3 linked regions of the Struthio camelus genome follow. The protein of the gene in region 1 interacts with the protein of each later gene in a biochemical or structural test. Links are inferred from orthologs where the notes say so. Each region holds a gene or a part of one and is shown in the gene's direction. Other genes may lie near its edges.

The links.
Region 2: of the proteins of CLSPN (region 1) and CSNK1G1, one has a biochemical effect on the other in vitro, tested with the Homo sapiens proteins (2 studies listed by BioGRID). The link is inferred for Struthio camelus from reciprocal best matches to the Homo sapiens genes CLSPN and CSNK1G1.
Region 3: of the proteins of CLSPN (region 1) and USP20, one has a biochemical effect on the other in vitro, tested with the Homo sapiens proteins (2 studies listed by BioGRID, with this or other methods). The link is inferred for Struthio camelus from reciprocal best matches to the Homo sapiens genes CLSPN and USP20.

Annotation. Positions count from the first base shown.
Region 1 is NC_090964.1:10,022,941-10,030,656, reverse strand, and holds the start of CLSPN (claspin), read left to right. Parts: upstream 1-4,694; 5' UTR 4,695-4,816; coding exon 4,817-4,837; exon of another isoform or gene 4,838-5,075; intron 5,076-5,752; coding exon 5,753-5,882; intron 5,883-6,446; coding exon 6,447-6,901; intron 6,902-7,716. Other genes in the region: AGO4 (protein argonaute-4), read right to left, coding at 864-960.
Region 2 is NC_090953.1:25,509,363-25,516,434, reverse strand, and holds the start of CSNK1G1 (casein kinase I), read left to right. Parts: upstream 1-4,012; 5' UTR 4,013-4,131; intron 4,132-7,072.
Region 3 is NC_090961.1:6,705,374-6,712,925, reverse strand, and holds the start of USP20 (ubiquitin carboxyl-terminal hydrolase 20), read left to right. Parts: upstream 1-4,474; 5' UTR 4,475-4,597; intron 4,598-4,879; coding exon of another isoform or gene 4,880-4,983; exon of another isoform or gene 4,984-5,571; intron 5,572-5,673; exon of another isoform or gene 5,674-5,785; intron 5,786-6,672; 5' UTR 6,673-6,714; intron 6,715-7,201; exon of another isoform or gene 7,202-7,298; intron 7,299-7,552. Other genes in the region: C20H9orf78 (splicing factor C9orf78 homolog), read right to left, coding at 98-295, 787-864, 1,145-1,215, 1,431-1,482, 2,212-2,271, 4,271-4,474, 4,880-4,983.

The DNA of each region.
Region 1 (7,716 bases):
AGGGCAATCAAAGTTTGCTGTGCTTATTTGGATACTAGAGAGATGATCCATTAATCCCGTGCTAATTAGTCTGAAGTAGTGCAGGCACTGACCTCCTGCAAGAGATTAAATGACAACTATATTTACCCATTTTCCTTCTTCAGTATTGACAAGTTTTGTAAACAGCCGTGGCAACACTGACCTAGGCCAGTTTTGACAAAAGGAGATCAAAGTTACATCATCTTCCCTGAAATCTTTTAAGAAGTAACTTTAAACAGAATAAGCTAAAAGCTGCTTTCTCATTTGAAGCCAGGCTTCCCTGCAAGTCACACCGATTTTATCATGATTCTGGCCTAATCAGCCCAGGCAGGGTTAAATAAGCTGTTACTCTTGATTTCTTCTACCATGTGTTGATCATGTACAGCTTACCCTCAACCAAGTTGCTTCAGACAGGAAGTAGTTTTACAAAACTAAAAGAGGATCTACTCCTACTTTAGAAGTCAGAGAGTACCTACCACACCATACATCAGTATGCTAGACGCTGAAAGCAATCCCCCCACTAACTACCTTAAAATCTTCTTCTGACGTTTGTCTGGAATTGCATCTTCATGTCAGTAAACTTTCCTATTGCACCGAAATTAACACTACTTCGATTACACCAAGGGTTTGATCACAGATATGGTAGATAACATACACTGGACCGCTTTGGTCAAGAAATACATCTCGCAGACATTTTATGGAAGAAGAGCCACAGAATAAGATAGAATTAGGAAAACGCCACATGCGTAATAAGGCCAATATTGAACGGCAGACTGTTTGAAAAATCAGCGCTCACCCTTCCAGAAAGTATCAACCGTAAGCCCTTAAAAACAAAACAGACTCACGCCAAACACTACAACTCGTCACTAGGAAAAGACCTGCCGCAAGCGCGCTGGCGGGCAGGGTCGGAAGCCCACGCGTGCTGTCACACCTCCGTGCCATCGCGATTCCAAGTCACTTCCACGCCTAGAGCCCCGCAGCTGCGCTTACGGCAATGCCCTATCTGCCCTGGCGAGGGGAAGGCGCCCGGCAGCCCCAACACCAAACTTCTGCTGTTTGCGACCCGCCCGCCAAGTTTCGCGGCCAAGTTCCTCTCCGGCGGGGGGAGCCGGGCCGGGCCGGGCCGAGCGGCGGGTCAGAGCCGGCCTGCAGCGCGGCCCCGCTCCGCGCCCAGGCCGCGCCGGCTGCGGCAGCTCCCGCCGGGCCGCGGCCTCCTCCGCGCTGCGCCCGGCCCGGCCCCGCCGCCCTTCGCGCCTGACAGGGCCGGCGGCGCCCGCGCCCCGCCAGGCCGCGCCCGCCCTCGGCCCGGCCCGGCCCGGCCCGCCCGCGGCTCTCACCGGGTCCCAGCGCTTCCATGGCGGCGGCGGCCTCGCTGCGGTCCCCGCCGGCCCCGACGACCGCCCCGGGCCCCGCCGCCGGCCCCGCCGCCGCCGCGTAACGCTTGATCTCGGGAATATTGGCTGCGGGGTGAGGGGGGGGGGTGGCGGAACGGGACGCGGCGGCGGCGGGGAGCGGTCTACCGCGCTGCGCTCGGCCGAGCGGCGGCGCAAACAATCCCCCCGCTGCGCTGCGCTGCCGCCGAGCCCGCGCGCGCCGCCGCCGCCGCCGCGCGCCACCCCCCCCTTCCCCGCGCGCGCGCGCGCGCACGCGAGCGAGCAGGAGCCGCCGGAGGAGAAGGAGGACGAAGAGGCGCCTCCACGCTGGCCGGCGCCGCGGGCACGCGCGCGCACGCGCTCCGCCCCCTGGCGCCGGGGGCGCGCACGCCCGCACCCCTTCGACGCCGGCGCGGCAACAGGTGAGGGGCGGCGCCGGCGGCCGCTTCCCGCGCGCGGGGGGGGCGGCGCCCTCGCAGCGCCGCCCTGACGGGGCCGCCCCCGCCATGACAGCGCCGCCCTGACGGGGCCGCCCCCGCCATGACAGCAGCGCCGCCCCCGGCCCCCACCCCGTGTATTTGGGGGCATTTTGTCAGAAATCAGCAGGTTTTCCCCCGCACTCTGCCCTCGGAGGTGGAACTCAGCCCCCCCCTCCCCTTTTTGGCATCTCTGCGCAGTAAAGCTCCTTTACTGACTGCACGGGTGTATTTACTCAGGTCCTTTTATTAGAGAACTTCCTTTTTTCCCTCTCTCTCTCCTCTCCTTCCAGAATTTCACAGGTTGAAGAATTAGCCCTCCGACCACCCGAAGCTTGGAAATAGTGACACTGCGTCTCTCAAACTCTGCGTTTATCTTCCATTGCAAAATACAGCGCCTAAACCCCACAGCCCGCGGTAACGACTTCCTCCGCTCTTCCCGTCCCCCACCCCCGAAACGGGGAACTCGCCTAACTTAATTACACCCGGTATAACTTCCTACACCAGCGAAACAGCAGTAATTCTGGTTAAAATACCTGAAAAAAATAACGTGTAAAAGTCACCGTGAACGGCTGCAAATTTTAATGCCCTTCAGGGCTGTAAGCAGGGCCAACACTTCCACTAACAAATTTTGTGGGCGAAAAATGTGTAGTAAGTGCGATAGGCTTGTTTGCCAGGGCTAATGATCGGTGTCTACCCAGCAGCTAACAGCTGACGCAGAGATCAATAATAACCATGGGATGTCACTCAGGCACCTTCTGAAAAAGTACTGTGGTAGGGAATTAGCTGGTTTGGTTATTAAGCCAGCTAGTTTGGTTATTAAACTCTTGGTGCACCTTTCAGGACTCACACCGTACACCCATTTTTGGGCTTGTTTTGGTCAACCTCTCTTCCCCCTTCCATCAGGGAAGATCCCACGGGCTGGTTTCAACCAGCACTGGCAACGGGGTGGGCTCACAGACAATAACTTTGGTAGGCTTTATTTTATTATTAGTTTTAATTAACAGCCAGGGAGAGGCCCTTAAAGTAGAGCCCTTGCTGCAGAAGCAACCGCTAGACCCTCTGTCTTGCATAGCCGCAGGAGGGATCTCATAAGGCTGAGGATACGCCTTGGGAGAGAAAGGGGCTGACGGACGCTGGATTTCAGATGTTTAGGTCGCGGAGGACACAGCGTGCAGGAACCTAAAATCAAGGGTCCTGCCAGCGCTCTGCTTGCTGAGATGCTCCTAGACATGCAGTGCAACCCAGTAGTTTTGATTTTGTTACCTGCAGTTTAACACAGTTTGTCTCTGCTTTTTCAGCCCAGGGGTTACTGATGCTTTGCCTTTTAAGAAGCTTTGCTATTTTAGTGAACGGCTTCCTTGCACATCCCACTTTTCTCTTGCTACCATTGAGTTCTGTTAAGTCAACAATTCTCAGCTGACTCACAAGTAGGTCAGAAGTCAAAACATTCTGTAAATAATAAATGCTGTGTCCATTTTATTTGCTTTTTTTTAAACCTGCAACATTTATTTTTTCAAGACCTTCTCTACAAGTAGAAGCATCAAAAACCTTTTAAAAGAAAATCAAATCTGCAGGTCTCATAACTGCCTGACACTAGCTGAATATTTGAGGGAAACACCAGCGTTACAAGACTTGTAAAAAAAAAAAAAACCCATGCTGGCCAGCAACATTTCTATGCTATTATTCAGCATACATATGTGTGCATAGTGCTATTTAAACAGTACTTAAAAAACAAATACACAATCTCTGCCTCATGGAATCTGCAGTACAAAGGCTTGGTCCTGTAAGATGCTGAATATGACAAAAGAAGCCTGTATTTAACGCATGAAAAGCTTAAAAAAAAAAAGCAGAAAAGCAATTAACCTGATAAATAAGTATAAGTTGCGGCATCCTGACAGCCAAAGTGGTCAGGACCTTATTTCTGAAAGTTCTCCCACCCTTATGCTGAAAACATCTACATTCATTTTATTTCCTTTCTCTTTTACATCTTTTACATCTACTTTTACATCTACTTAGGCAGGTTACCTGAGAGACGGTATCTTAACCATATTCATTAATGATGTTTTTGCAGTGCCAGCAGCTGCCTCTCCCGTTACTAAATACCGCCACAGAAACCAGCATTGCGTTGTGACGCCTGCAGTAAGCCTCAGGGGCGTTTGCTTTTCTCACTTCTCCATTCTAGGATGTGTGGGCTAGATGGGAACTATCATAGCAGATTAGCCCATCTGTTCAGCATCCCCCGCAGCACTGCGATGGATAACAACTACTTCAGAGTATATACTTTTTTCCCCCTTCCCCTCCCGGGTTTGCCTTCATGGGCGGACAGCAGGTTCCTGTTTGCACTTCGCGGGATGCTCCGGCGCTCCGGTGCGAGCGCTTATCCGTACTCACCCGCCCGGCAGCGGGAAGGCCGGTACACCCCCACTCCTAACCGCCGCCGGACGCGCGGGGGCAGGCCCACGCCGACGCGGCTCTGCCCCCGCAGCGGGCTCGCCACGCCACCCCCGCGGCCCGGCAAGGCCCTCTCGCTCCGGGCCCACGGCCCGGCCCGCCGCCACCGTCAGGGCACCTCGCACCGCCACGGCGGCCAGAGCGGCTGGCAGCGCACCCCTCCAACCACCCCGCGGCCAACGAGTCACTCCAAGGTTCTGACAGCAGGGGGAGGGGGCTGCCCAATGGCGGGCTTATAGGGCGTGCAAAGCCTTGAAGGGAGAGCCACGATTGGGCGAGGCGAGGGGAGGCGGGACTTCGCGGGAAATCGTCCAATAAAGCTCGCAGGGGGCGGGGCTGTCAGGGCAGCTCTAAGTGCCGATTGGTTGGCCCCAGAGGCGGGGCGGGCCTTGGGCAGCGCGCGAAGACTCGAAGCGGTTTCCTACCCGGCTGGGCGGCCGGAGGGTTTGTGTGGCGCCGGGCCGCGGGTGCCGGGGTGGGCGCTCGGGCTGAGCTATGGCGGCGGCTCCTGGTGAGGTGAGTTCCGCTGCTCTGTGCGGCCGGCCAGCGGCGGCCCGCTGCCTTCCCGTGGGCTTGGTGCTCCTCTGGTCGCGGCGGGGAGGCCGGCGGGGACGGGCAGCGAGTGAGGCGGCAGTGTCCTCTCGATTACCGGAGCGCGCCGGCGGCTTCGCGCCTTCGCCGGACTCGCCTCCCCCGTACCTCGGACGGACTACGCTTCCCAGCGTGCCCTGCGGAGGCTCATTCCACTTAGCGCGGGCGGTGCATGCTGGGAAGTTGGTTGCCCTGTCGGGGGGCGGGTGCGGTGCATGCTGGGAAGGCTGGTGCCCGTTCCGGGCGCGGTGCGTGCTGGGAGAGGCGCTGCGGCCTAGGCGGCACCGCCGTCACCGGGGGCGGCCGGTGAGGGCCGGCCCCGGCGGCTGCGGGCCCCGGGCGGCCGGGGCCGGCACGGAGCGGGGCCGGCCCTGAGCGAAGCGTCGCGGGGCCCGCGTGTGCGGGGCCAGCACCCTTCTCCCTCCGGCCTGCGTCGCCGTGCGCGGCCCCCGCGCCTCGTCTCAGGGCTGCTTTCTAGAGAGCACCCACAAGCGTCTGGTCCCTCCCCCTGCACTGTGTAAAATGCCGCTTTCGGAGATGAAATTTCAAAGTTTCTCATCAATTACTTCATTCTAGTAATTTTGAGTAATGTCAGTAGAGATCTTCCAGTATGTTCTTTTTTTTCCTTGTGCAAGCTCACATTAAACATATTTAAAAGCCAATAAAGGTTGATGTTGCATAATTCCCCTCCGTGTAAAGGTGAATTAATTCTTAATAATATGTGTGCATATATTCCTATGTAAAGAGTTAGCCAAGGTCTTGGACTAAGTTAAACTGCATGAGTCATTACTACATAAACAACACTTACCATATTAAGGATGATTTTACTTTGCTTTGTAGTTTCACTTAGAAGATTTGAAATCAGACTTGCAGAAAACCACTGATAGTGATTCTGACAGTGGACAGGGCAGCTGTGAAACAGGCTCTCCAGGTCACCTCAACAAGGAGAGAGCATCTCTTGATGACAGAGGTCTGTAATATTTCTGTAAATCGTGCCTGGAGGTGATTGTCTTCAATAGTGAAAGTTGAGACTACATGATCTTTGACCTTCTGAAAGTTGCGTGTTTTTGTTGCACCTGTATGAATCCAAACTGCCCTTTTGGCCGCTAAGAATGCGGGCAGACAGATATCTGAAAACATCAGAAAACCAGTTCTTGAGGTTCAAAAAGATAAATGGGATGTGAATATCTTAATTGCTTATTTTCTTTCTTTTTTTGATTTGCTTAATCTACCAAGGGCAACATGATATGCACTTATTTAGTTACTGTATTTTTATTTTTATTTTAGGGGCTGTTACTAATTATTTGTGAATGGTCTTTAGCTTTTTTAAGTCTAAAAACCTATAGCATCAGTTTGGGTCAATTATGTATTGCATGATAGGAAACAAGTGGATTTTGAATTCAAGTTATTTTGCTATAATTGTTGAAATCTGTGAAATTTAGTAGGCTTATATGTAGGCTGTATTTAAGTGATTGCTTATTAATGGAGTTCACCTCTCTATAACATGCATCCCTTTTTTAATATATTTTGTCAGATTCAGAGGAAGAGATTTTTCTAAGTAAAAAAACAAAAAGCAAAAGGTTGCTTCGGGATAGTGAAAGTGAACATGAAGAAGATAGTGGCTCTTCTAAAAAGAATGATACTCTGGGTGGAGTCATGGAAAATGGAGAGGAAAAGGAGAACATTACTGCCCAGAAGAACAAAAAATCTCATCGAGTTCGCCAAGGTCTGCTGGATAGTGAGGACAGTGACACTGGTGACCGATTGCAAGTTGAAAACTTTGAAACGAGCAAAAAGTCGGACTTTCCTGAGAATGAGTTGGGAGAGGAGAGACCCCTAAAATCTGGGAAAAAATACAGAAAACATAAACATGATTTTGAAGAAGAGACAGCCAAAAAATCTATAGGAAAACCAAGGAGAAAAAAGGAGAAAGAAAGAAGGACTGAATCCATTAAGCAACTGAAAAAAGAAAAGAAACCTAGAGCAGAGGTATATATTTTTGGCAGAAAATCCCAAATGGTTTCCCAACTAAGTTAAATTCTATTTCTGCGCTTGCTTACTGTGTTTCAATGTTTCAGCATCACTTGTGTCCACATTACTACAGCAGGCATTGTGTCCACAGAGGTCTATAGTTCTGCTATATAGAGATAGCAGTTTTATTTACAGAGAAAGTACAAATCCTAGCACTCAATGATTTAACATCAGTGCATGTGAAGTCAGGCAGGGATGATGATAATGGGTGTCCTCTTGAGAAAGAAGGGGTTGAGGAGAGGAGTGTTGATAGGAGTCTATTTTAGTTTGGTAATTCTGTAATCTTGAAAGTGATGTGTTATGCTTCAGATTTTTCCCTTATCCTGCTTGTCAGCAATAGTTAGATGACATCAAGATTTCTCTTTACCTCCTTGCAATTATAAGGCTGTAACATCACAAGATGGAAGCAGATCATGCTGACTAATGGCATCAGTTCAAATTGAGTGGCAGTAGAAACACTGGGAAAAAAAAAATATTTTTGGGGATAATAATGATAAACATTTTTTTGGGATAATAATGATGTTCATTGTTGCTATTTATAAAATATTTGAAGTATTAATTTATTCTGTCTAAGTGGTCTTGCTCTTTAGTAGCTCTTCAAAGTCCCTATATGTTATAGTTGTAGGAAACGTTGTTCTGTAAATTAGTTTATCAACTTCGCAGTGCTATAAAGTGAATGTGACCAGCTCACAGGACACAAAGATGTTACAGTACCGGTGACATAAACCTTTTTTAACTTCTTATCATCAAGACCTTTTACCAGTAGTCTTAAA
Region 2 (7,072 bases), on another chromosome or scaffold:
TCAGGTGGAACTTCCTGTGGTTCAGTTTGTGCCCGTTGCCTCTTGTCCTGTCGCTGGGTGCCATGGAGAAGAGGCTGGCCCCATCCTCTTGACACCCTCCCTTCAGATACTTGCACACATTGATCAGATCCTCTCTCAGTCTTCTCTTCTCCAGGCTGAACAGGCCCAGCTCTCGCAGCCTTTCTTCAGAGGAGAGATGCTCCAGTCCCCTCATCATCTGTGTAGCCCTCCGCTGGACTCTCTCCAGTAGGGCCATGTCATAACAATGCTCTTTTGTTTAAATCCATGTGAATCCTGCAACTCACTGATTTTTGATGGGGGGGAAGGAAGAGAGAAATACAAAAAGAGCTAAAATCCAGTGCTCATGAGTGCACTCTGTAAGTAGGATTTTTAAGTTATTATATTTTATATAAAATATATAACAGAAGAGGAGCAAGCTGACAGCTGCTACCAAAGGTAAGACCACTCGCTGTAACCCAGCATTGACCAATGTGTTAACCTCAACTTTTTAAACTTAACACCCTTTTTACAAACATCCACTAAAAGAAAAAAAATACCTAGTGCTGACAATAGATGTCAGCAGCATCTCCAGCTAACAAACACTTGATTGTGCCAGTGACCTGGGCAACGTGCATTTAGCCTTGTTTCCAGTAAAAGGTCACAGATTGCATGTGTCTCTGCAGAGTAAGCGATACGTTGCTTTTTTAGCAACAAGGACCTGCGGTAACGTAGCCTGCCCAACCTAAAATTTTCCTCACAAGTGAATTCTAGTTGCTTCTTCCAACTGCAAGATATTTCTGCCTTTTACATTCTGGTTGGAGCTAACTGCATCCACTAGCTAATATGATTCGACAGATGCTGTTGTGCCTCTCTCTGAGCTCAGGTCCGGTTGGTTACCAGCACTATCTGGTGGGGTTCAGTAGAAGATCCCAGAATTCTTCCCTGCTCCTGAGAAATGCAAAAAAAGGTTTCTTCCCTTTTCACAACTCTCAGACCTCCAACATGTAGGATATTCTGTGTACAGTCCAAATTATTTTTATGACCCTTGAAGGTGAGAATGTCACAGCCCTGAGGGCCCCACCCACACCCCCATGTGTAGAAGGTGCAGGAGCTCCTTTTTAGCTCAGCTTGGGGCAACTTAGACCTTTCCAGGGCAATGCTTCTCCAGTCCTGTCTTCTGGATAGATATACACTGTAAGCAGCCAATTGCTTGTCCTGGCTCCTGGATGAATTTTGGACCATAAAGCCGATGTGCACACTGCCAGCTGTTTGGGGAAGGCAGGCAAAGAAGAAAAACGGGGAAGAGTAGGACATGGAGATGGGTAGAAAGTCGCAGGAAGTTCATTGCTGGAATGATTGGTTAGTGGATTCTCTTGAATGCTCCAAAACCAGCTGTAAAAATAACAAAAATACTGTGCTTAGAAAGGGTAAATACTAGTGCTTGGAAATTAGAAGCTAAGAAATCCTATCTGTTCCTCTCTGCTTTCTGACCCCATTGGATTTACGCCACTTAGATTCCGCCTGCAAAACATCTCCTGAAGTATCTCAGTGTTGAAATTAGACCCTAAGAGGCTAGATTTCTGAAGGTCCCAATATTTTGGGAGACTCAGGTGACAAAAACACCTTTGGCTAGGCAATGCAGCTGGAGTGAGTAACAGGACACGACCCCATCCTTTAGGGTCGTAATGCGAGATGATTGCAAAATTAATTACAAAATTAATGTGAGATGATTACAAAATGCTGCAGCTTCATAGCATTTCACAAGCTTTTCCTGGTAGATTTGTCTTGCCACTGCATCAGAAAAAAAGATTTTTTTTTCCCCCTGTGTGTAGGATGAGCTTTCTGCTCCCAACGGGACAGATCTGACCGGAAAGAGATTGGTCCTCCTGTTATTCCAGACAAGGCCATGCAGGGGAGGCAGCTGTTCGGCGAGGCGAGCAGATGTCTGTGCCATAAGGAGTGGACGGAGGGGAGGTATTTATGCATTGAGGAGAGCGGGCCATCAGCTGTCGAGTTGCCACGGTCCCACCGTGCCATGGGAAATCCAACTGCCCCGGCACTTCTGCCGAAACCGCTGAGCTCACAGCATCCCCTGGGTGAAGATTTTCTCCGCCAAGCGTGCTGACGGTTCTGTCTCCAGATTCCACTTTATTGGGAAAAGTCTCAGAAGTCAGAAAATTGCCTGAAAGCTATTGTCAGACTACGTTGGACTATAGCATGTATAACATGCTGGTTCTTACTCCTCTAAATAAAGCCTCCCTGCTGCAGACGCTGCCGTTTTGAGTTTTTTTGGCATAAGGAGGCAGTATCTGAAACACAAGATGCCCTCTTCTCTTTTATTAATTTCTGTAAATGTGAAGCTTACAGTGGCCTTTTGTGTATGGAACTACATATCCTCCCCCTCCCGCTTTGGAACGAAAGATCATCGGGGTTTATTTCCATCGGGGAAAAACGAATGAGACCTTGGTGCAATCCTATTGCTCTGTGTGCATGAAGGGCAGAAGGCTGCTGCTCTGCTTTCAGACCCCCTGCTTCTTTCAGGCAGGACCCAGAAAATATTCTTTCTTACGCTTTTCTCAGGAGACTCAGTCTCTGGCTGTTCCTCTTTGCACACAAGTGTCCAGCGTTCCTCAAAACGATGCAAGGTAATTTTGCGTTTGCTTTTGGCCTGCAGGGCAACCCTGCTGCCCACATTGCTCAGACTCTAACTCTGCTTGTGTTTGGCTAGTGCCTCCCGTCGACAGAATAACTAAACAGGCGCTTCATTGTCTTTTCTCTCTCCCCTGAACAAAGGGTTATTGTTATGCCCACCAGCTTCAACCGATCACCCCACAGCAATAAAACGGTCCGTCTCAACTGGAGATGTTTCCTTTACTGTATTCAGCAATTTCAAAAAAAAAAGAAGCAAGGAGTTTCCTTTCTGTAGTAATAATGTGCCCAGGAATCGGTGCTAACGTTTACCTGCCTCAATTGGAGAGGGTAACCCTAGTGTCTGCCGCTATTCCAGTCGGATGGTCCTAACCAGCCTGACACGCTCCTACGTCAGCTGCACGCTGCAAATACACAACAAAAGAGAAGGAGCAAACAAAAAGGTGAAACACAAGTTTTTAACCAAACTCTGCTGTATTGCTACTTAACTACACCACTCCAGGAGAATTTACAAGCCCAGCGCTGGGAATATGAGACGGTAAGGAAGAGATATCCCTTCAACTCTTCAGTTCTTGATCTAAACAAAAATTCCCAGGCCATTTTAAAAATTAATCCGCAGCTAACTCCTAGCAGATGCTACGTGCCGATGACTTGTTACGTCCTGGTCTAGAGCTCAGCTGCTGCGGTCAGCTAACGAGAGTGCTTCATCAGCTCAAGGACTAGCGAGCTGCCCGGCAGGAACGAAGGTTTTCCGCACCAGACCCGCGGAAAGGCTGCTATGCAAATACCACACGCAGTTTTTAAAACGCTTTCAAAGAATGCTGGAATTGTGAAGAAACCTGGAAAACCCGGCTGGTGCGGAAACGTAGAGTTCCGGCTCCAAAAAAAAAGGGGGGGGGCAGGAAAGCATATAAACATTGAGCTGACGGCCCCCAGCACCCTTCTGCTTCTGGAGCGTAGCGTTTCCTCAGCGGCGGCCCTTCTGCAGGGCGCAACGATTCCCGAGGCTGCTTTCCGCCTGCCGCCGCCGCGCTACGGACTCCGTGCGGCGGCGCCGCGGCCCCGGGAGGCGCCGGGCCACGAACCTCCCGCTGCCGAGCGCCCGCAACGGCCGTTTTATCCGGCTGCGGTTCCCCAGCCGCGCAGCGGCGCCGGGGCCGGGGCGGCGGACAGGGAGGCCCGGGCGGCGCCGCTTCCGCGTAGCAACGGAACGCGGTTGCTAGGGCGAGCCCGGCGCGGCGGCGCCCCGGAAGCGGTTGCGGGCGGCGCGGCGGCTTCGGCCGGGTGCTGCCATAGGGCGGCGCGCGCGGCGGGGGCGGGGCGGCGGGCGAGCGCTTCCGGGTCGGCGGCCTCCCCGCGGAGCGGCGGAGGAGGGCGGAGCCGCCGGCGGGGCGCGGAGAGCAGCGGCGGGGCCCGGCCCGGCCCGGCCCAGCCCAGCCGAGCCGCCGGCCGCGGAGCCCAGCCGAGCGCCGCCGGAGCCAGGTACGGCCGCCTTGCCGGCGAGCTACGGTGCGGGGCCGCCGCGCCGGGGCGGTGCCGAGCCGAGCGCCCCCGCTTCGGCCCGGGGCGGTGCGAGCGGGGCCGGCGGCGGCGGCGGGTGTCACGGCGGGACGCGGCCCCCCCCCCCCCGCCTCGAAGCGGCGCCCTGCGGAGCCGGGCTGCGGGGCGCGGCGGCCGCCGAGCGCGGGGCGGGCTGGGCTCGCCTCGCCTCGCCGCCAGGCCGAGCTGCGGCGGCGCCGGCGCCCCCCGCGCTGCAGCCGCCCCCGGGGGCGCGGGGGGGCGGCCTGGGCCTGCCCGGCGCCCCGGCGGCCTTCCCGGTGCCCCCGCGGAGGCGGCCGGCCCCGCGGCGGTTGTGGATTGTTTTTTTTTGGGGGGGGGGCGCTTATCTGTTATTAGCTGGTTTCTCAGAAACGCAGATGCCGTGATGTGGTTAGAAGGGGTGGAAACCTGTGTAAGCGGCATGGGCTTAAAAACGTTGCTCTTAGCTACGGGCACAGCCAAAGTCCCTGGGCACGTAGCACGTCGTCTGCCAAAAAACGAGTTTTAGCGCTGGTATTTGAGCAGGAACTTTTTAAAATCCTAATCCTAGTCCCTCCTCTAAGGGAAAAAAAGGCTGTAGGTGACAGTAAGCACTTTTATAACTTCTTTATGTGTGTGAAACGTATCCCCCCTTATCCATCTGCAAGATGTGGCGTTTGTCACGGTATCGCACTTTATGCGCCAGGGATAGTTTGACTCTTGTCTTGTCCAGGGTACTCGCAGGATTTTTGTCTTCTGCTCAGGATCTGTTTCACTGAGAGGAATAAAAGCAGACAGCTGTTCTCTTCAGCCTTTCTCAACGGTGGCTTGATTTTTCAATTTACATGAACTGATCTATATGGATTTCAAGCTCATTGTTAATGTTTGCTGCCTCCTGTGCCCTAACTTTATATGATCTTTTGCACCTTCCCCGTTTCTCATATCAGTTTCAGATTTTCAGATTGGCCTAGTTGAAGTCACACTGTCATGGGTGTGATCTCAGACTTGTGTGTGTGTGTGGTTTTTTTTTTTTTTTTTAATCAGTGACCTAATGCATATGTGTAACCGGCTTATGCTGCCACTCCCCGAGCTCCTTGGTACTTGCCTTTTTCCTTTCTTAGTTCCCCAGCTCCTGGCTTTTATTTACATACAAAATAAACCACCTTTTCTACATCTCTGTTTTGGAGTGTTAGGTTTTTTCTTTAACACTGTGTTTGTAAATTGGTCTCTGTCAGCCTGCTGGGAAGAGGATGATGGGTGGACTGAAAAGAGTAAGCTTTGTTCCCGTTTTGAAGCTTTTATCAAATATCGGCGGTGCTTTCCCACAGATGCGTTCCAACGTACAGAGAGTGTCTTTAAGCTGCAAGTTTAGAGAGACTGCTTTCTTAAGGCTGTAAAAGCTGTGTCCGTCAGTTGCTGAAGTTTTGGAAGTGTCGCCTATGCAGTCAAATATTAATGCTGGAATTTAGTTTTATTACTGGAATTTAGTTTCATTACGTGAGCTGTCGCTATTGTAAAGAGAGATAAAGAACGTTCTTCATCTGAAGCCCTGCTGATATTAGAGCTCTTTCGGCCAGGAATGAACTGGAGATACTGCCGCTGACAAATACGAGTTAGAGTGCTTGTATGGGGAAGGTCACCACTGGCAAGATGCAACTAGGTGAGAAAGGATCTTGATTTTAAATGTCATGGTATTTGGAAACGGGCAATTCTGTCTTAATAATTAAAAAAATGTCTACTTAGAAAGCTCGGGAGGTAGTGGTGGGGCTGTGCTAAACCATAACTGAAATTTCTAAGGAGCCGGAAGGTATGTTTCCATTGCAGGTTTACAGTATGTCTTGTACTGGGGTCCGGCTCTGTATCCTTGTTCCAGGAATTTATATATATGAAGAGAAGCTAGACCTGATGCTATCAAGAAATATAGGTCAGAGCTTATGTGCAATGTCTAGCTCTAAAGTACAGTTAGACTCTTAACAGCATTCTCGCAAGTAAGACCTGGAAATTCTCTGTTCTGGCTGTAGAAGTTTCTGCTCCTAGTGTAGTGGTACCCGGTGCAGGTGGCATTGAAACCCTTTGGCAGAAATACTGCTATCTGTTGAAATAATAGACTGCCAGCTTGATGAAGTCAGTGCTTTACACTTAAGTTTGGCATAAATATCTAAACTTTGCAACTATGCAACTCTTTCTCCAGACACTGCCTGCCTTGACATTCCTTTTTCTGAACTCAGCGAAGAGTCCAGCTGGAGACTTGTTCTGAAGAGCAGTTGGGTCGCAAAGACGAGGCACAGCTTTTTACACTGGAAGGCTGTAGTGGCATATTTTCAATGGCTTGTCCATGCTGCTTTAGGACAGTCTGGATTTCTTGCTAGGTTGATCTGTTATCCTCCAGCTGTAGTGATTGGAACTTGCTTCAAATTCTGCTGACTGTGGCCAGTACATACCTATTTGTTCTTGTGCCAGTGTTGTCCTTCATAAAAATAGCTTTTCTCTCCTTCAGTGCTTTCAGCAAGCCCTCCGTTTCCCCCCTTGGCTCCTTATTTTCAAACTATGCAGGTTAACCTTGTCGTTTCTCTTTTCCTGATCATCTCTCGTGCTGCTCTGTGCCTGTGTTTGCATAAACTAATCCCTGAACATAACTGACCAGGCAGGACCCAGACTGCTGAAGGAGCTCTCGCTAGGATGTTTCTGAAGTCTGTGTCCTTGTCTTGTTTTGCTCCATCCATATTTTTCTTCTTTGGAAGTTTTTATGCTGTTCTGGTCCTCTGTATTGACAAGACTTCAACTTCTTTTGCCAAAGTAACTGCTGGAAAATATTCTGGCAAGAGTGATCCAGCAGACAGGTTCACACAACTCCATCACAAGAGGAATTATTAGCTGGATGAGATCGTAAGTACAACCTAGTCTG
Region 3 (7,552 bases), on another chromosome or scaffold:
TAATCCAGATATGCCACTGCCTTGCCAATCAACAGTTTCTAGTCACAGGACTCTCTGGCAATTCAGGCCATAACTAACGGATCCGTGAACTACATACTCAATTCCCAGGTCCACTTCAGGAATGCCACTCAGCATCTGGTTGGACAGCATCTCTTCAGTCTTCTTGGCAGAGGAGACACGGATGTTCTCTGGCAGCTCGTACAGAGAGTCCTCGGCATTCTTAAGCTTCACCTTCTGTTCCTCATTCTCCACAATCCCCTTCCTCTTCTTCAGCTCAGTCTCAATGTACTTCATCCTGAACACCAGCACACAAGGGACACGTGGTATTTAGTTATGTTTTCTGTACTCTGTTCCAGCACTGCTGAGCACAGCTGCATCACTATCACAGCAGCTAGGGGAGAGGAATGAATAATCACTCCAAAACCACTCAGCTAATATAAACTGCAACAAGTAAAACATTTGCTACTCTGTCCAAGAAAAGATCAGATCCTCCAAGGTCTGCCACAACCAGCAGAGAAGGCCACCACTGGTATATAATGCCATGATGCCACCATGCTAGCTGGCTGGTCAGCACCTCCCAGCTTTGTTCAAGAAACAGCCTTCTCCAGTCTGGCAGCCAGAAGGTGCAACAGTAAATGAAAGTTTCAGGAAGGAGGAGGAAGATGTTTTGGGAACTCTTACTGTCCAAGACAGAAGGGGGGAAAAAAAACAACAACAACAAAAAAAACCTGTGAGAGGATCACAGGTCCAGATTCAGCACCACAGACACAACGCAGAACAACTTACATGTCAGCGTCTTCATCTCGCCTGTTGGTTTCAGCTGAGAAGGAAGTTCCCAAGTTCAGATCTTCCTCTTCATTAATCCTAAATGGAAATCACAATGTAACAGTTGTTTTATAAACTAATTTGACATATTACGATAAGGGTAACTAGCCAAGCTGCGTTATATTGATATTATAATAATATAATTAATGACAATATATAGTGAACATAACTGCATAATATAATACATAATATATTGTTATAATAATATAATTGATACAGTTATATTATTCTTCAAAACAATGCATCATTTGGTTAATTCACTAGTAGCTGTGATTAGAGACCAGTCCAAAAAAGGTTTTCGGAGCTCATATACACCCACTTGTCCTTGCCCCGTTCTTTCAGCTTCTTCATGTCCACCATCCCACCAGATTTTATCTTAAATGGGTCATCCTGTAAAACATGAAATGAGAAATCCTGAAGCGTTCCTCTAGTTTTAGGCTAGTCTTCAAAATCTGGATAAAAACACAGAAAACTTACAGGTTTTAAGATGTGACCATCAGTCCTATCCCCGACTGGACTCACAGTGTGGTCCTGTCCACTGGACCACACTGATGTTTTCACATCACTATGTGAAACTGAGGTGATGAAAAGAATCTAGCACTTACCACAAGCGTTGCTTCTTCTTGCAGCTTCTCCCCAACAAGCAGAGCTGCAGCACTAGTCAACCAGATACAGAAGGTAAATAAAATTCAGTAGAAGGAAAATATTACCAACACTACTGTGTTTTTTTACTTTTCTCTAAATCTATCAGACAGCCTCAAACGCTTTAGTAATACAAAACTGTCAGGCTTCCTAATCCCGCTCTATGGATAGAGGAACTATGACTGTCTCTGAGAGGTAAGAAGTTAAGGCAGACAGATTTAAGTGACTTACAGTGAGTCACCAGAATAAGGAACAGAGCTCATTGCTGGTGCACATTTCAACTCACCAGTCAGTGGCACTAGATGAGAAAGGGGAGAGGGAATTTAGGACAGAAGAGATGTGAGACAGTCCAGTGTAAACCCTGTATCACTCTGTAATATGTACAGTACAGATGAAGTGGCCAATACAGCAAATCTCTGATGACATGATTCAACGTAGAGGGCAAAAGCAAGGCAATGTGGTAATTTGATAAGAAGACAATTCATGTTAAATCCCAATCTTAATCTTTTTCTTCATGGCTGGGATATAGACCAGATTTGCACGCTGTGTCACTATACCTAATATACCCTCTTTTCCATCTTCAGGCTTTAATATAAGAAGTCCTCTGCCTAAAACACACTTTTGGTGCTGTTGGCCAGGTAGCTATTTCTACTGAAAGAAGGCAAATAACAGCAGAGAAGTTTACTGTTACGTTACGCCATCAGACAAAACACAAGTTCACCTCCTTCGTACTATATCCCTTACCTCACCCCATTGGGTCGTTTTCTGAGGCTCTGAACTTCTTTGGCTTCCTCAAGTTTTAACCTGGAGAAAAAAACATTCAGCTTAGGACTTTATGCTTTGGGTTTAATTAAGAATCAACATTTTCTGCACTTAACACAGGAACTTCCAGACAGACTTTGCCCTAAACCTCTGCATATGAGTGTCCACTTTTCTGGTTACAGATTAGAATGACGTATATTTTCCATTTCATTTTATTTAAGCAATTCCATTTATTTAAGCAATCAGAAGAACCACGTGGCACCTACCGGGATATGTCCCTTCAACATATCTTCCCTCAGCTGAGGAAAGAAGCATCCAAACACTGAAAGACTTTAATTTGAGGCCAATATGGGAAGAAAGAGCCAAGCATTATTGTTCCTGTACTTAGTCTGTTAAGATCCCCAGCCAGTATTTTCCTCAGAGTAAAACAAAGAGGGTCACCAAATCAGAATTTCATTAAATAAGCGTGGGACCCTTTCAATCCTCCAACATTTCACATTAGCTAATAAAATAACACAGTCATTTCTCAGAGGAAGGGGCAACTAATGAAGCAGCTGATTAGAGCGAAACTAGCAGCAGCTTCAAGTGAATGTAGAAAAACTGAGTGGTCATCAAAACACACCGCTACGGGAATGGCTCAGAAAAAAGTTGCATTGTTAAGTATCAATATATGGATGTCTATATATGGACTTACATGCATTCTTAATTTCTTCAGATATTTCAATCTCCCTTAATCATACATACTTTCAATATCTACCATGAAATATGCATCATAAAATATTTTTCAGAGATAAAATAACAAGAAAAATCTTGCGTGGAATGCAAAGATCTGAAAATAAAACGGACTATCAGTGAGCGCCCATTTCCAAATGGTAGAAGTGGAAGAGAAGTAACGCGTAAAAATGGCGCACAAAGACAGCAAGAGGGCTGGTGCCAAGGGAGAGGCCTCAGGAGAGTCTGTGTTAGTCAACAGTGACTGGATACTGTTCTAGCTGGCTCCCATTCCCTTAAAGTACGGCCTCTCCGGTTGTCTTGACTAATTGGGTTGACAAACTACAAATGCAACCGTTTTCTTGTCTGGAACGTCTCAAAGGAAGGGAGAAGCCAGACGGGAACAGCTGGCAGCAAAGCAAAGGTTGGACAACAAATATTAAAGCTGTAACACACCCACCAGAGCGGGCCTAACGCTTCTCAGCGCGGCCGGAGCCCCTGCCAAGTACAGACCCCCCCTGCACTGCAGGGCGAAGGGAGCGTCGCCAGCACCACCGGGATGTCCCTGCATCGCGGCCCTGCCAGCGCCCGGCCGGGGGGCTCAGCTCCGGCAGCGACGCAAAGGACGGTGGCGCCGCAGGCCTGCGCGCCGGTCCATCGCGCTGTGAGGCGACGCCGCGACGGGCACGAGGCGACGCCGCGCCGCGACGGCACGAGGTGGCAGTGTAGCGCGATGATGTGATATGACAGTGTGACACGGCAGCGCGACGCCATGATGTGATGCGACAGTGTATGGCGATGATGTGACACGATGGCTTGACGCGACAATGCGGCAGGACGACGCGACACGACAACACGACACGATGAGGCGACGTGATAACGTGACGTGACAGCGTACGGCGATGATGCGACGCGATGGCGTGACATGACGACGCGACAGGACAACGTGACAGGACGGCGCGACACGACACGACAGCGCGACACGACACGACGGCGCGACGTGATGATGTGACGCGACAGTACACGGCAATGATGCGTCGCGATGGCGTGACACGATGATGCAATAGGACAACGCGATAGGATGATGCGATGCGACACGACGGCGCGACACGACGGCGCGACACGACGCAAGCCCCTTCCACGCAGCTGCGCTGGTCTGCGTCCCTCCCACCCCGCCCACGGGGACACTCGGCCTGTCCTGCGTGGCCGGGGGAGCCCCGCCGGTGGCAGCGCCCGGGCGCGGGGCTCCTCTCCTGTCAGCGACGCCCCGGCCGCCATGTTACAAGCCGCCGGCGCGTCCCCCCGCGGCCGCAACGGGCTCCCGACCCACCTGACCTCCTCGGCCACCTGCTCGTCCTCCTCCTCCTCCTCGGAGCCCGCCCGGCGGCGGCGGAAGGACTTCTTGGCCGGCATGGCGCCGCGCTGCCCCCGTCCGCTGCCCGGCGCAGGGCGCGCGGCGACGGCGTCACAGGGCGGCGCCGAAGCCGGCGGTCGCCGCCTGCCCTGAGGCGCTGAGGGCAGGGGCGCCCTCCCCCTGTGCCGGTATAGAGAGAGAGAGAGGGACATAGATACACACACGCAGACACATATATATTCTGATATCCGTCTTCAGCGGCGCCCCCCCCCCTCTGGCCACCGCTGAGAGGCTTTCGGAGAGGTGAGTTACAGCAGGAGCTGCGAGGCGTCGCTGCTCCCCCCCCCCAGGCCGGCTGTGACCGGCGCGGCGCCGCCTGGCCGCCTCCCCCCCCCCAGCTATTCACCTCACGGCGTTTTCCACTCTGGGGGCTCCGTGGGGTTTGGCGGAGAGGCCGCCTCAACCCCCTTCCAGGTTTTGGCCACGTTTTGTCTCACTTCGCCGCTCACCCCCCCCCCCAGACTTGTCCCCGCTTCGAGTGGAGGTAGCGGACCCCGAGTCCGCCCCGTGTGGCGGCGTCCGTACCGCGCCGTGCGGCCGTTGGCAACGCTGGAGCGGGCGGCGGGCGAGTTTGGCTTCTCGTCGGGCTTCGCCGCCTGGGGGGGGGGGGGGGGGGAAGGGAAACTCATGACAAGCAGGGTCTCGCTGTTAAAGGTGATTTTAAGTCCCAAGGGCGGCTTGGTTCGTGGCAGCGCCCTGCTGGCGTTGGCTTTCGCAGGCTGAGGCGCGGCTCGGCGCTCTGCAGGACGGGGCCGGCTCCGTGCTAGGCGCAGTGTAGTAACTGTTATCTTTGCGGCGTGCCGAAGGCTCGGATAAAAGGTGTTTTTACAAGTACGTGTTGTCACATAGCCTCTGTTTTGTAAACCTCCCCGCTGGTTGGAACAGTACGTTTCTTCTCCCCCCCCCCCCCCCCTTAGCCGGGGTCAAACCCTGGCTGCGCTGAAGCGCGGGGGCAACTTCGCCTCTGCTGCCAAACTGAGATTTTATTTTTTATGTCGTATTTTTTGGCCGCCGAACCGTGGCGGTGGAGGTGCGGCGGTGCCGCACATCAGCTGAAGGCAGGCAAGAAGCCCGCGCCCGGGGGCGGCGGTGGTAGAACAGCTGCGACGAGAAATCGGGGCGTAGTTATTTGGGGGAGAGGGGGAAACGGCTTAAAATGATGCCCGCGTGCCCTGCCGAGCGGGGGCTCCTCCGGCGGCGCCGCCGCCGCCCGTTACGCGCTGCCACCGCCCGTGAGGGGCACGGAAATGCCTCCGCCGGGGCCGCCTCCGCCGCGGCCCGGCCCCCGGCCCCTCCCCCGGGCTGGCGCCGCCGCCGCCGCCGCCTCGCCGCGCTGCTCGGGGCGCCGCCGCCGGACCGGGCCGGGCTGGGCCGGGCCGGAGGGCGCGGCCTAGCGCCGTCGCCGAGCCCGAGGCGCGGCGCATCGCGCAGGTGAGTGGGGGCCGCGGCGGGGCAGCGCGGCCCGGCCCGGGCCGATGATGCAGCATCGCCGGGGGAAGGGGAAGGGCCGGGGCCGGGCGCTGCCCGCCGCGACACGGCTGCCGGGGGCGGCGGCGCGGCGTTGCCGTGCGGGAACGGGCCCTGCGGCCGCGGAGCTCGCCCCGGCCAGCGCCGTCCTGGGCTTAACTTCGCTCACGTTTAAAAAACGTGGCTATTGTTAAAAGAGGAGTTTCACGCGTGTTTTGGGGCGGGGGGGCTGTTGTGCTTGAGGAGCTGTGTACCCGTGAGGAAACGTTCCCAGAGCTGTCATTTCTTAAAAGCTGCATTCCACAGAGGTGGTGTCTTTTTTTTTTTTTTCTGGTGACCTCCAGAAATAAAATGCAGTTTCCTTTGTCTGTTCTAAGTAAAACATCTGGGTTTCCAAACATGATGCGGTGCAAACCTCGAACAAATTGGAAATGCCTGTTTTCCGATTTCTTTGTTGTCACTAGGCCAGTTCAGTAAACATTTCCTACCTCAGGGTCTCAGATACAAGACACTGCTAGTAACAGCTGCAGATAGCTATTTATCTTGGTAGTTATGCAATATGAGCGAGCAGATACATTAAGTGTTTTGTGGCTGAGCGGTACAAAGATTTCCTTTTACTCATACAAAAATCTAGTCCATGGACTGTACCTTTTTAAATCTGCATGTATCAGAAATTCTTAAAAGCGGACTGCAAACTAAAAACAAAAGTGTGCAGCTTTGAGCAGAAAAATTAGAAATATGTTATTGCATAGGGCAGAGACACTGGTTTTTGGCAGCAATTTCAGAAACTGAAAGTAGGTTGCAGCTACTGTGGGACTGTTCTGACATGTTCCTGTACTGTTCTTCCACAGAGCTTCTTGAGAAAGGCTGGCTGAAGGAGTACCTGTGTTGAGGTAACTGCTTTTCCCATCGCACGCAATACGTTCTGACAAAGTGAAGCTTCCTGTCAGTGCTTTTATTATTAAACTCCTGGTTTCTTGAGGAACAATGAAGAGCTGTATGTTCCAGCTAAAGCTCTCAGGGCAGAGTCTTGGGGAGGTAGAGATTTGATAATTGTTTCCCAACAGTTACAGCTTGAACCTTCTCTGATTCATTCAGGCAGGGCTGAGAGGTGAACATGACCTTTTTCCTGTTTTATTCAAAAAGAGAAGCTCGAAATGAGAAGATCAGCATCCAGTGGTGGAAAATTTTAAGGCATATTTTCAATTTTAAATAGGTGACTGGTCCCATAGAATTCAGTAAAACCATCCACATCCACAAGACTGTACTGAGCACAGTGTGCTCCAAAAACAGTTCCCGTTTAGCTTAAGCTGGTAAAGATTAAGGGGCCTAGAGTTAATTTTAAAAATATCCTGTTCATTAGGCTTTCTGTGTCCCCAGGGTACGGATAAAGAATCAAGGAAGGCAAAATAGCAAAGATGGCACTACTATTTTTTTTTTTTTTAAGTTGGACCAGCTGATGCATTTGGAAAAAGAGGTCAGTTTTGATGAAGGGACTCGGAGCCTGAAAGTGTCCTATTTCTATGTGTTAGTCAAAGATACTATGGCTTTGTCACTTGTCTTAAATCAAGATGTTACGCGACATTATTTGGCTTCTCTGTGAAGCTGCATGAAATTGTTCAGTAGTCTGTTAAGCATCTCTTCACAGATTAGAGTTCCTCGTTACAACCACAGCAGCCTTTTCTAGCATTTGGAATGACTCCTTCCCTCTCCAGTTTTGCTTCACTACTC